2 linked regions of the Tamandua tetradactyla genome follow. The protein of the gene in region 1 purifies or fractionates together with the protein of each later gene. This does not show direct contact. Links are inferred from orthologs where the notes say so. Each region holds a gene or a part of one and is shown on either strand. Other genes may lie near its edges.

What was found.
Region 2: the proteins of KPNA6 (region 1) and RNMT purify together in Homo sapiens (co-immunoprecipitation; 3 studies listed by BioGRID and IntAct, counting the BioPlex papers as one, with this or other methods). This does not show direct contact. The link is inferred for Tamandua tetradactyla from reciprocal best matches to the Homo sapiens genes KPNA6 and RNMT.

The regions. Positions count from the first base shown.
Region 1 is NC_135328.1:193,718,175-193,725,488, forward strand, and holds the start of KPNA6 (importin subunit alpha-7), read right to left. Parts: upstream 3,091-7,314; 5' UTR 3,016-3,090; coding exon of another isoform or gene 2,997-3,015; intron 2,588-2,996; exon of another isoform or gene 2,508-2,587; intron 1-2,507. UniProt on the Homo sapiens protein: Functions in nuclear protein import as an adapter protein for nuclear receptor KPNB1. Binds specifically and directly to substrates containing either a simple or bipartite NLS motif.
Region 2 is NC_135344.1:77,650,280-77,657,197, reverse strand, and holds the start of RNMT (mRNA cap guanine-N(7) methyltransferase), read right to left. Parts: upstream 3,002-6,918; 5' UTR 2,876-3,001; intron 2,865-2,875; exon of another isoform or gene 2,751-2,864; intron 1,908-2,750; 5' UTR 1,843-1,907; intron 375-1,842; 5' UTR 352-374; coding exon 1-351. UniProt on the Homo sapiens protein: Catalytic subunit of the mRNA-capping methyltransferase RNMT:RAMAC complex that methylates the N7 position of the added guanosine to the 5'-cap structure of mRNAs. Binds RNA containing 5'-terminal GpppC.

The sequences.
Region 1 (7,314 bases):
CTTTTTGTTTTGGTCTCTTCCCCCCCGCCCCGTTTTTTCCTATTACAAACCTAGTAGGAAGCTGTTGAGCACTTAGTGGTAGATAGAAAGAGTTTCTAAATTATAATTTTCACTTGAAAGCTCAAATGTTATTGATAACTGACACTTCATATACTTTTGAGAAAATGTAATGCAATGTAAAATGACTTACATTCATTCATGACAAAACTCTGTAATTTAGTGTACAATTTAATCCCACAAGTGATTTTCCTCCAGACATACTTTCAAGGGTTGACTCTGTACTGTTTCATCAAGGACATTCTTAAGTGAACCTGTGTTTGTTTTTTTAAAGAGTGAGTGATGAGGGTTGATGAATGTGTGCAAATATCAACACAGGGAAAATAGAAACCTGGACTGTAGTCTACAACAGTCTGCAGATCACACTTTGAAAAGCACTGCTCTAAGGTACAAATATAAGAATGAAGTGCTGGGTTGGTAAATGGTGAACTTGACCAGATAGTTTCAAGTTGCCTTCCACTGTTACCCATTTACACTAGCTTAGCAATACATCATTTCCACTGATACATATTCTGACCAATACTTGGAATTATCAGACTTTAGTCAACCTACCGGCTGTAATAAGGATTTCACTGAGATACTGATTTTCCCAGATTGCTAATGAGGTTAAATTTCATGTTTATTGGCCATGTATGTTTTACTTTCTGTGAAAAAAATGCCTGTTTCTATATTCTGAATATTTTTTTTCTGAATAGGCGGTCCCTTTCTCATCACTTTATAGTCCTTTAGTATTCTACTTATTAATCATTTGTTGGTTATTTGTGTTACAGGATCTTCTAACACTCTATGGCTTGTCTTTTCACTTTTTTTATGGCGTCCTTTAGCAAAAAAGTTCTTAATTTTAAGGTTAATATATCTTTTCTTTTAGTTAAGATATATTATAGATACATATATTATAGATATATAACTATGTATGTATGTATGCAGGTTCTGTTTAATAAATCCTTTCAGTCACAAGGTCAGAAAGATACCCTCCTCATGACCTCTAGAAATTTTTTTTTAATTTTCTATTTTTATTGTTATAAATGAAATGCCATAAATTTGCCATTTTTACCATTTTTAAGGGCATGATTCAGTGGCATTACATTTACAGTGTTCTGTGACTATCACCAACATCCATCACCTAAAACAGAAACTCTGTGCTTATTAAGCTATAACTCCCCATCCCCCCCAAGTCCCTAGTAACCTTTCATCTACTTTGTCCCTATGAATTTGCTTATTCTAGATATTTCATAGGAGGAATCATGTAATATTTATCTTTGTGTCTAGCTTATTTTACTTAACATGTTTTCAAGGTTTATACATATTGTCGCATTTACCTGAACTTCATTCCTTTTATGGCTGAATAATATTCCGTTGTATGTATATACCACATTTTGTTTATCCATTCATCTGTTAATGGACACTTGCAAAGATTCCATCTTTTCTCTATGGTGAATAATGTTGCTATGAATACTGGTGTACAAATAACTGTTTGAGTCCTTGCTTCAAACATTTTGGGATATATACCTAGAAATGGGATTACTGGGTTATATGATAATTCTATGCTCAACTTCCTGAGGATTTGAAAGAGTGCTGCACCATTCAATAATTCTGCCAGTAAAGCACAAGTGTTCCTATTTCTCTGCATCTTCACTAACACCTATTTTCTGTTTTGTTTTTTTTTTTGTTATTTAATAATGGCCATTCTAGTGGATATGAAATGGTATCTCACTGTGGGTTTGATTTGCATTTTGCTAAAGATGATTCTTAAAGGCTCCCAAGGTTGAGTATCATGGGCAGACTGAAAGGGGATTAAAAGTTGGGAAGAAGTGTGGCTGGATATATAGTGCAGCCTCCAGAGAAGCTTAAGTGAAGTCTATCAGCCTTCCACCTGCTTAATGCATTCAGGCCTGGCTCTACCACATTTCATCAAATAATAATAAGGGAAGCTCTCAGGCCTGTAAGACCTGCTTTTATTCTCTGCTTGTGTGACCTATGGCCTTGGTCTATTATAAAGATTTTGTTTGTGGCACTGCTCAAACAGCTCTCTTCACCTTCGTCTCTTCTCTACCCAATAACTATCCTCACCCAGTCCACCTTCACTCCTTCTAATCACTGGATCTGAGATCTGAAAAGCCTTATATTTTGAGAGGCAGGCCACAGAGGAAACAGAACTTCCGAGTCTGATGGATTTAGGTATAATTTTGGCTTTGCAACTTACAGTGATTTCAACATTTTTGCAACGTACCTCCAATTAAATATGACTTGGAATCCCAATATTAATTTTAAAATGTAAAGTAAAGTGGCTTTTGTGTTGGAAGTGTGCGTAGATGGGACTGAAGCCTTACAAACTTGGCTTTTCCCTTATTAACAACTCTTATCCTCTACATTTCTAACCTTAAACAATAACTAAATTTATTGCAAAAGGGATGTAAAAGTTTTATAGGAACACAGAAAGAGAAACTTACTCTGTGCCCTTTTTCTGGAGAGTTAGTGGTAATTGTGATGACAGAGTTTAAAAGAAAATCTTCCAAAGATAAAATGTGGACTGAGTTTTCAAGCAGGAGTTCAACGTGGAGGTGGGAAGCAAGGGCAGAAAGAATAGAACAAGAATGAATGCACATAAATGGGGCAGGGGTAAGTAATCTATGAGAGAATTTGATTTAAGAAAAATGAAAATGGAGGTTGAGATGGAGAGCTTAACCCTGGAGTCAGGGATAGAGAACAGATCAAACTTCAGGGAAGGTTCCTCTGGGCTTTCTGGAAAGCATTCTAGGGACTCAGTAGCAGCAGTAGGCTCTTAGAATGTGCAAGTGTCACATTTTTACTTACTGCAGAAAGTTCTAGGAGATGGCAATAGCCTGCCTTTGGGGTCCCTGATTATCCCTGGGCCTGAAGGCTCACAGGTACAGGGCAGATTTCTAAAAGAAGCACTGTGGACTGCTGTTCCCCATTACCTGATAAATGATTTTTCATGACTCTGAGCCTTGGCTTTCCCCCAAGGGTTGTCCCTCCTTCAAGCAGCACTGACAGTGAAGCTTGAAGGGGAAACCAGCTACTGTGTTTCTTTAGTTACCATGGTAACAAGAAACTATCACAAATATTTGTTTATGACTTCACTGGAGAAGTCAGACAGGGGAGATCAGATTGGAAGGAGAAAGGAACACAAGCACATCTACAATCAGCAACCAAAGGAAGGCTGGCTTGCTCTCAGGGACCCAGCAGACAAAGGGGCTTTTTCCATCAATCACTTTCTTACCTACTGGAGCTGGGTCAAGAAAACACACAATAACATAATAAATAACCTTTACTACATCTAACTGCCTCAGACTGATTTTTTTCTTCAGTCAATGAACTCTCTCAAAGTGAACAGGTCCCTCAAGTTATATCTCTATTTCTAGGAAATAAATATGTAACGATATCATGCATTTTCTAAGTTTTTAGAATGGAGGACCAGTCATAATTATACAAAACAGGTTTGGGTGCTAACTGATAGATGAAGAAACAGGCTCAGGTCACACACTAACTGGATAACTGCAGGGCTATAATCACTGGTATGTTTAAAATTTTGAGATTCATAAAATTTTTAAATTATGCCCAATTTCACAGAAATAGGCATACTACATATAGCCAGCTATCCTGTGTGTGGGATGTGAACAATGTCATAACACCTTCAAGTGCACAAATGTGTGCTTAAAGCACCCTGGACAGCTTAGCTGCTGGCTCCAGGATTTTTCAAACCGAAGTCTAATGTACCTGGTCTATATTTCAGAAAGTTTCCAAGTGATGGACTCTATGTGCATGAATATATTTCAATAAAAAAATATATATATATTTTTTACATGGGCAGGCACCGGGAATCGAACCCGGGTCCTCTGGCATGGCAGGCAAGCGTTCTTGCCTGCTGAGCCACAGTGGCCCGCCCTAAAAATAATTTTTTAAAAGTTCAAAAAAAAAAAAAGTTACCAAGTAATCAACTGAAAGCATCTACCTAGAAGAGCCCCCAAAAGCTAAACACAGAGTTAGTGGAACCAGCATTCATTTTCTAGCTAATGACATGACAGTCTTCAAAGGAGAAGATGGTCCCTTAAACATCATAAAGTTATCAACCTTTTCAAATTATGATTCTTGTCCTGCTGCTAAAGCTGAGCTGGCTGTCCTCTTTGCAAAGGAAGACTTTCTGATGAAACATTATTGCCACTGCCCTGGCACAGAGAATGAGCTAAGACTTTAAATCTGGCAGGCTAACTCTTGGGCATATGCTATATTTAGGAAGTTTTATAGCTCATCATGATGCATTAAGGTTATTTAATAGTACTGGGAGGACAGATTAAGGATATAAACTGATATCTCCCAACATCTGGGAGATATCTTCCTTCAAGAGTATAAGTATGAAAAAACCTGCCTCCTCCCAGGGGGAAATGGCTTTTTCAGCTGGCCCCTTCTTTAATTTTTCACCAGGAATTCTCAAGTAGAAAAATCATCAAAAGATTCTCAGTTAAAATGCTAAGACCCTTTGCCAGTTAACTAAAATGAAAGGGATAAGAGTGCCCTAAGGGATGATGGCAGAATAGGGAGGTCAGGATTCAGTTCACCCTCCAGGGAAGCTAGCAAATAGCCAGGAACTGACTGAAACAACTGCTTGCGGGGCTCTGGAGACCCGAAGAACACCGTACACTATCCAGCAAAGAGCAGAAGGAAGAGACTGATAAACTGTGGTAAAAAGCTGTGAGTAGATCTCTCTATGTTGCAGAGGCTGGGATCTACCCACCACTGGCACAAAGGGCTACCTTAGGGAGCCACTCCCTGGCTGGAAATAGAAGCCCTCTATCCCATGAATGCGAGAGGGAGGGAAGGACAGGGCCAGGCAATGTCTGCAGCTTTTGATTAGTGAATTCAGAACACTCAATTCTTACCCAGAACAGAAAGGGGTGGGGGGAGCGGGGAACAGGCACTGACTCCAGCTTTTGATTAGTGAATTCAAAGTGAATTCTAGCTCCTGAGAAAATACAGCTACAGGTTTGTTTGTTTTTTTAATATCAAAAATATATTTACTTCAATATGTCTAAAATATTATTGTTTTAATATGTGATCAATTTAAAAATTATTCTTTTCTTTTTGGTACTAAGTCTTCATAATTCATTGTGTATTTTACACCTATATACATCTCAATTTAGACTAGTCACAGTTCAAGTGCTCAATTGCCATATCTGACTTGTGGCTACTATACTGGACAGAACAGGTCCAGAGTTACTTTACTTGCACCCTCCTTCTCATCCAATCTGTCACTCCCATCAGGTGCAGAGACAGTGTCAGGGACTTGAGGGGTGGGCCAGAAAAGTTCAGGGGCCTTACTGTTGTCATGAAGCCTTCATGAGCCTACCAGGAAAAATAAAATTACTATTTTTCTGAACCATCCTCATCTATTCCAGTATCCCTCTTTTTGTACCTCCTGGAATCAAGCAAAAGTGCTCTCAAACAACTTGGCTCATACTTGATTATAGCCTCTAGTCTACTGTGCCTTACAGTCAGTTTGTTTTAAACTCCCCACCTAGATTACAAGTGTTTTAATGGCAGGTCCAACACCTTGTCATTTCTCCTTGTAAGTGTGCCAACATTAGGATTCTGCTTAGGAGGTGTCAACTGAGCCTTTTCCTTCTCCACAATACTCTTACCATGCTCCCTTCTTCATCCAAGATTTCAGTATCTCTTTCCTTGACTAATACAGCATTCTCCAAAGTAGTAAAACTGCTTCTCATCTTCTTCTCTTCCCATCTTTTACTCACTGATGCTGAATTAATAACAGCTACAGTTTTAACCTGCCCAGGGCAGAAATCAACTGGCAGCCTCCATTTCAACCCCACTCCAAGCAGGGGAGGAAGTGGGACTGGTTGAGACACAGTAGCTTCTCTGGTCAGTTGGGGACAGGTTTCTAAAGGGCAGCTCTTCCCCAAGAAAAGGGGAGAAGTGGGCAAGGGCCAGGGCAGTTAGCAGCAGTAAGAGACTTCAGCTTCCAGGGCCTGGGATCTGGGCAACAGTTTCCAACCCTCCCTGGCCAAAGCCCAAAGAGGCTGGCAACTTCTGTTTCAACCACACCCCCAGCAGAGGCAATCGGCTGAGAATTAAAGGCACAGTACCATTTTAGGACTATGGGGAACAGGTGGCTGAAGAGTGCCAGCTGCTGGGCACACCAGGGAAGTACATATCAGAAAGATATAGAGTAGACTGACATCCTTCTGGGTCTTCCCCGCACACCCCCAGAGTACTTTGGAACTATCTACACCACTTCTGTGGGTCCTGGGCCTGTTTTGACAGAGAAAAACGGACAGGGACCCTCCTCCCAGAAAAAGCCCTCCTGGTAAAAGCAACTAGAAATAATGAAAACAGTGTTAAAAACATATAAAGGCAAATAAAAAAACATATGAGGCAAATAAAAAACAAACAGAGGGCAGGCCACAATGGCTCAATAGGAGAGTTCTTGCCTGCCATGCTGGAGACCCGGGTTTGATGCCTGGTGCCTGCCCATGCAAACAACAACAAAAACAGAATAGATCAACATTCCCAGAGGAGAACAAGGGAAAGGAAGCTTTCTCCCGGGAGTGAAACAGTTGCACAAATATTACAATCTCAAAAATTATACCATATATCCAGAGTAAGAATCAGATGAATAAGAGCTGAAAAAATCTGATCAAACACAAACTATTCTAAAGGTCTATAACAAGTTGAACCAGTATCAAAGAAGAGCTATAGCACAAAGACAACAAGAAAATCCTTGGCAGGAGAGAGAGAAACTGATCTTCAGAATATACTCATCAAGTGAATCAGTTGCCTAAGCACCAGCAAAAAATTACAAACCATACTATGAAACAGGAAAATATGGCCCAGTCAAAAGAACAAACTAAAACTTCAGATGAGATACAGGAATTGAAACAACTAATTAATGACATTCAAACAAATCTCCTATATCAATTCAAGGAGATGGAGAAAAATATGGCAAAAGAGATAAAGGATATAAAGACAATGCTAGGTGAGGATAAAAAGAATTTGAAAACATGCAAAAAAAAAAAAAAAAACCCACAAAACAAGCAAGCAAAAAATCCCAGTACATATGGGAATGAAAGGCACAATAGAAGAGGTAAAAAATACACTGGAGGCAAACAATAGCAGATGTAAAGAAGCAGAAGCAATTATCAGTGAACTAGAGGATAAGACATCCACAATTTTACAGACAAAAGATAAGAAAGGGGAAAAAATGGAAAAAATAGAGACAGGTCT
Region 2 (6,918 bases), on another chromosome or scaffold:
TCTTTTTTTTGTAATACCTTCGTCATCACCAGAACCTTTCTCCTCTAGGACTATTTCAGGATCAAGTTTTCTTTGCTTGGCTGGAATGTCTTCCCCACAACTTGAACTTCCCTTTATAAGATCATCTTCAAAATCCATCCTTCTCTTTTTCGGTGTGTCTATTTTGTCAGAGGAATGAGCATTTTCGGTAGGCCCAGTGCCAGAAGCTGTAGTGTTTTCATTATTAACGAATGAAGTTTCTGTTTCAGAATTTACGGATGCCTTTGACTCTTCCAAAGAGATCTCTTTACCGTCCTCTACTTTTGTAGAGTTTTCCATAGTTGGTTTCTTGAATTGATGATAAAATTTCATAAACCAACACTGAAATGAGAAAACTGGATACTGTTTATAAACACCAACGTGGACACTTTCAAGTAATTTTAAAAAGAAGTTAGCCATTTAACTTCAGTGATCAATTAGAAGTTTTAGGAAAATCAAAAGGTAAACTGATTTATATTACACATGAATATCTGAATATGTATGGTAGTAAGGATTATAATTACCCAAACATTTCTACAGTCTTATCCATAAAAGTCTCTATCAGCATCAAAACTGACAAATGATGTAGGGGTATAACAGTAAGAAAGTTAATTTCTATTCTGATTCTTAAGTTGAGTGAGTCATTACTGTATAGCACCCTAAGCTGGTGCTGAGGTACCCCTAGGGCACCCCAACAAAGTCCCAGGGGAATGGCAGGATATCTTAAAAATTTCAAGGGAAACCCAGTGATATTTGACATCTGGCAGATATCATAGAAACTACTAGCTTCAGGTGCATCAGTTTCAACAGTGCAGACTGCAATATGTAGCCTCTGACAATGTTAAAACTTTGTGAAGCTCAGACTTAAGCGATACCACAAGAGAACCAAGGTTAAACAGAAAATGAAGGTGGAAGTGTCTGACCTGATTTCAAACTCTGAGAAGTTGTATAGGACCTATCAAATGCACATATTCCACAAGTAAGTATTTGTGGTTATTTAATAATTAAATAGGACATTCTTTTGAAAATTAAGACATAAATACTTAATAAATTCTTTGGCATTAACTACTTAATAAAAAGAACTGCTAGGTATTTCTTTTGGCCTAGGGGCACTGAGAAAATACATACAGTAAGGGTACCCCAATCAGAAAAGGTTTGGGAACCTATAGCCAGGACTTCTGAAAGCCTTATTTTGTAATGAGTGTCTAAAATAGGTAGAAAATGAAAAGAGAAAAAATGACTTTGGACTTGGAAGTTTCAAGAACCAGCTCTGGAGCTTATTAGTTGAACGGCAAGTTAGGTCTCTTAACTCTTTCTCCTATGTGTAAAACGCAAGGGGGAGGGAAATAACAGATCTATCTACTAGACAGGAATTGTTAGGGTGATTCATTTTTTCATTCATTCAACAAACTTACTGAACTCCTACTAGAGAGAGGTTCAATGAGGTACTATGTGAATTGTGTTTTTAAGAAGTTGTACCCTTTTCCCCACTACTAAGATGTTAGACTGTATTATTCAAACCAAGTAAAGCAAGAGCGAAAGTCAAAAAGAGCACCAAGATTCAGCAAACTCAAGATTAAATGCACAGAACCTAAAAGATATGAAGCTGGGAACAAAAAAAAGACTCCTTTTGAGAAAAGAAAAAAGAATGATAACAGTTTAAAGAAATCTGACTTTAGGAAAGGGTCTCAAGGGAAATTGGCTTTCACTACCCACTTGTGTGAAGTAACAAAATACCAACAGGTGGCAAAATAGGGAGAACTGATTGAGAAGGGAAAAAAAAATCACTCGGCAATCTGCAGGGTAATTATTTAAGATGATTACCTGGTTAAAGTGGTCATCAAATTATCAAATCCCTATAGTCTCTTCCTCTGCCACAGTAGTATTTCCTAAAAAGAATATATTAAAGTTGTTTTTAAATTCAAGTAAAGAAGTCTGATGCATTTCTTTAGCGGAAGTTCCTAAAGTAAGTGTTGCAATTTAAATGTGCGCCAATTTTATGTACATAGGCCACTTTTTCTACAGATAAGATGTCACAAAAAACATAACCAATTCCGTCAGAATAAATGAGATACCGTTCCAAACGATTGCAGAAATGGGTATGAATGTTTAAAATTGAGAGTCAAAGTGCAATAATGACCAAAATTCAAATGGAAAAGCGCTGTCCCTCAGAATCCTCAGGGCTTAGATTAAAAGAGAGTCTACTGACAGTGGAGATGGATGTGCAGTAAATGACCTAACGGGCATTTGGATTTGACTTCCCACTCAGCTCCCAGGCAATCCTGGTCCGTCATTTCAGTTTCACCGAGACCGACTGAGGGCGCTGGGGTCGCAAGGCTTACGCTCAGACAGGGTAGGGTCTAACGTCCAGGGAGCAGCCCGCTGGACCCGGCCAGCTCCGGGGCCCAAAAGGTGCAATAAAGGAGAGGAGGGGATTCTTCGGCCAAGTTCACCTTTCCCGTCACCTGCGCGGCCGTAGGCCTCTCTTGCTTAATCTTCTGCTCAAATTTCTCAACCGCCGCTCAAGAGAGACAGCCCCCTATTTGCACCCCGGAGCCCCTCCCGGCCCACCCCTCAGGGCGGCCCTGGGTATGCAAGTGCACGCAGCTCTCGGGACTTCTACCACCCGCGCTCCCTCGGTCTTCAGTCCCATCTGCGCCATCGGTCGCCACAACTAGCATCCATTTTGCGTTGGGCTAAGGGCACGATGAACCCTCGAGTCAGGTACTTACGGCCCAGGGCTAGAGCAAAGCGAGCCCAGGCCGGAGTCGAGGTGCCCCTTCTACCTACTCGCCGGCCGCGGAGAGGCTCAAGACAAAGGGAAAAGCAGGGACGCGGCTCCTACCGCTACACTCACCAACACAACCATCCACGATTCTGTTTGCGGAAACCGGGAACCTACGCCGTGACTGCCTTGTTACGTCACTTCCGGGGAGCCGCTCCGGGCGACGACTGGAACGCAGCGCCGCTCTGGGCCTCGAACTACATATCCCGAGGTGCTGCGCGGCGCGCCCTGGCTCAGGGTGGGACGCCGCGGGGACGGGACGGGCTTCCCGTGGTGCCGCGCGCGTGAACTACCCGTCCCGTGGTGCTCGTCGACGTTCCCACAGAGCACCGGCCGTGGCGCGGCCCTCGCCCCTGGACTGCATGTCCCGTGGTGCCGCGCGCGCGAACTACCGTCCCGTGGTGCTCGTCGACGCTCCCACGGAGAGCCGGCCGTGGCGCGGCCCTCGCCCCTGGACTACGTGTCCCGTGGTGCCGCGCGCGTGAACTACCCGTCCCGTGGTGCTCGTCGACGTTCCCACAGAGCGCCGGCCGTGGCGCGGCCCTCGCCCCTGGATTGCATGTCCCGTGGTGCCGCGCGCGCGAACTACCGTCCCGTGGTGCTCGTCGACGCGCCCACGGAGAGCCGGCCGTGGCGCGGCCCTCGCCCCTGGACTGCATGTCCCGTGGTGCCGCGCGCGCGAACTACCGTCCCGTGGTGCTCGTCGACGCTCCCACGGAGAGCCGGCCGTGGCGCGGCCCTCGCCCCTGGACTACGTGTCCCGTGGTGCCGCGCGCGTGAACTACCCGTCCCGTGGTGCTCGTCGACGCGCCCACGGAGAGCCGGCCGTGGCGCGGCCCTCGCCCCTGGACTACGTGTCCCGAGGTGCCGCCCGGGGCACAGGGCGGTCGCTGCGCCGAGTGGGTGGGCGCGGCCTGTGGGCGGGCGGTGGAGGGCGAGCGTGCGCTGAGGCCCGCGGGCTATAGTTCCCGGCCGACGGGGCCAGGTCCCGGCAGGAGGCGGGAGGCAGAACCCGCCGAGCGACGCGCCTGTGCGCCCAGGAGCCGTCGTCCGGCCTGCGTGGCGGGGAGCGCGGTCCCAGGTCCGCTGAGGTAGCCGGGCGGGCCCAGCCTCCGAGGGGCGGCGGGAGGGTCCCGAGGGCGCCATGGCCTCTGCGCGGGGACGGGAGGGGCGACGGGGAGTCCGCCAACGGCCTGGCCGTCTCTCCGCGGGCCCGGTGGTCCGGATCACCGGTGCCGCCCGAGAGGTCACCCCGAGCCCTGCTTTGCAGGCCAGTGTCCTTGGGACTGCTTTGCCCCCTGACCTGACACCCTACACGCTTTGCTCTTCTCTCCCTCCACGAAGGGGAGCAGCCTGAAGCTCTAGCAATCGTTTTAAAAATAGACCAGAAGTTCCTTTCCTCCAGGAACAGCGGGTCGCTGCCTTTCGCGGTGCTGGGAAGCCAGGACCACGTGTGGGAGGGAGAAAGGGCAGGCCACACCTAGCCGTGCTGCTCGGGGGCGCGGCAGGGGCCGCTTCCTCCGCGTTTGTAGGTCCTCCCCTGTTTCCACCGGGCATGAGGACCTGTCCTCTGTTGGAAGTCTCCACCGACAGCGCCCTTGCTCACGGCTCTCCACCCGGTCAGAACGGACCGTGGATGACGATGGTTCGTGTATGGGAAGGTTAACGTGGTTGTGTCTCCATACCTCCCCACCTTCACGGTGTGAAAACGCAACCAGACTGATCGTTTATCCCGAATTCTTCGACTGATCCCTTTTAAAAGCAGCTTTGAAAAATGTCTTTTACCAGCTTGTCTTCTTGACCAGGTGAATGGAGTAGGCTTGGGTTCGATTCCCGGTGCCTGCCCATGCAAAGAAAAAAAGTAGGGAATTCGCTTTGGAAACAGTGTTCGCAGCCTGTACTTTGCAGTCTAGTCGCTTTTGGATTGTGATCATTAACTTTTCTAGGGTTATTGACCTTTCATGTTCGGGTCACTTTGACTCGAGAATGTGGCCCTTTTCTAAGAAAGCCATTTTAGTGAGCTATGTTTACATACCATACAATTTATCCGAAGTGTGCAGTAACAGAGTTGTTCATTCACCACCGTGGTCAGTTTTAGAACATTCCCATTATTCAGAAAAGAAAAACATTATACCTGTTATCAGTCCCTATTCAACCTTTCTGTCGTTTCCCAGCCCTACATAACTACTAATCTATTTCTGTCTCTATAGATTTATGTATATTTACACTGTATACAAATGGAATCATACCATATGGAGTACTTTCTGTGTGGTTTCTTTCACTTAGTATATATATATTTTTTAATTAGAGAAATTATGGGTTTGCATAAAAGTCATGTAAAAATCAGTATTCGCATATACCCCTCTGTTGACACTTAGCAATGATGTGGTACCTTTGTTACAGTTCTTGAAAGAATATTAAAATAGTTACTGTTAACGATACTCCATACTTTGCCTTAGGTGTATTTTTCCCCATATACTACCCTATTATTAACACCTTATAATAGTGATGTATAGTTGTTTTAGTTCATTGAAGAACATTCTTATGTTTGTACGATTAACCACCTTCATCATCCATAAAGGAGTTTACTGTGCCATATCCTATTGTTGCTTCCTATTGAAACGGAGCTCGGAAGATATTAAGGAATGATGAGAAAAAAAAGAAAGGAAGAAAGAAAGACACAGACGGGCTCGGGGTCTGAAGCTTGAGTTTACTTCAGACAAACTTCAGACAATTTTATTCTTAACCAGATCCTTGTTATATACCACAGGATGTCAATAGATATGCAGGCATTTCCTGAGGGAGCAAGATTCTTATCTTACAGTGTTCTTTATACTTAACATAACTGTTTGGGGTAAACGTTCTCTTCCTCGCAGACTGCTCTACATAACAATCTCCACAGTTTACCGCCACCATCCTGAGGCCAGCAGCTTGCAACAAATTCTGTAGGTCTTGCTTTAAACTCTTGGCTTCTACATCCTACCACATAGTTTTCCTTCCCACATACATGTACATAATTCATTGTGGTTAATTACACTAAAATAATGTGTTGCCATCACCTCTATCCATTTCCAAACATTTACAATCAACCCAATTAGAAATTCTGTGCAAATTAACCATCTGCTTCCCATTCTCTACCTATTCTATCCCCTGGTAACCTGTATTCTAGATTCTAACTCTGAGTTTGCTTTTTATGATTAGTTTGTATTAGTGAGATCATAAACTATTGTCCTTTTGTGTCTGGTTTATTTCACTCAGCATCATGGCCACTAGGTTCGTCCATGTTGTCACATGCATCAGGACTTCATTCTTTCTTATAGTGTAATAATAATCTATCATATGCATATGCCACATATTGTTTACCATTCATTGGTTGATGGGTCCTAGGCTATTTCCATCTTTGGGCAATTGTGAATAATCCCACTAAGAATATCAGTGTGAAAATGTCTGTCCAAGCCCCTCCTTTCAGTTCTTCTGGTTATATGCCTAGTATCGGGGTTGCCAGATCATAAAGCAGTTCTATACTTGACTTCCTGAGGAAACGCCAAACTGTCTTACACAGCAACTGCACCATTTTACATTCTCACCAGCACCGAATGAGTCTCCCTATTTGTCCACATCCTTTCCAACACTTGTATTTTTCTATTTTATTAATAGTGACCATTTTAGTAGGTGTGAAATGATAGCTCATTGTGGTTTTGATTTGCATTTTCCTAATCGCTGGTGTTGTTGAGTATCATTTTCATGTGCTTTTCCTCTTTGGAAAAATTTCTATTTAAAGTTTTTTGCCCATCTTTAGAATTGGGTAGTTTGCCATTTTGTTGAGTTGTAGTGCCCCCCCTTTTTAATTGTTTAATATAATATATACAAAACAAAGAAATAAAAAGCAATTGTTTTTTATTTTTATGGTTTTCAAAGCACTCTTCAACAAGTAGTTACAGGACAGATCCCAGAGTTTGTCATGGCTACCATACGATTTTTTTCTTTTATCTGCTCCAGAACATAGCCTAGAAGGCATCCTATAAAAAAAATCGACTTTTTTTTTTGAAAAATAACATGTACAAAAAATGCAATACATTTCAAAGCACAGCACAACAACTGTAGAACAGATAAAA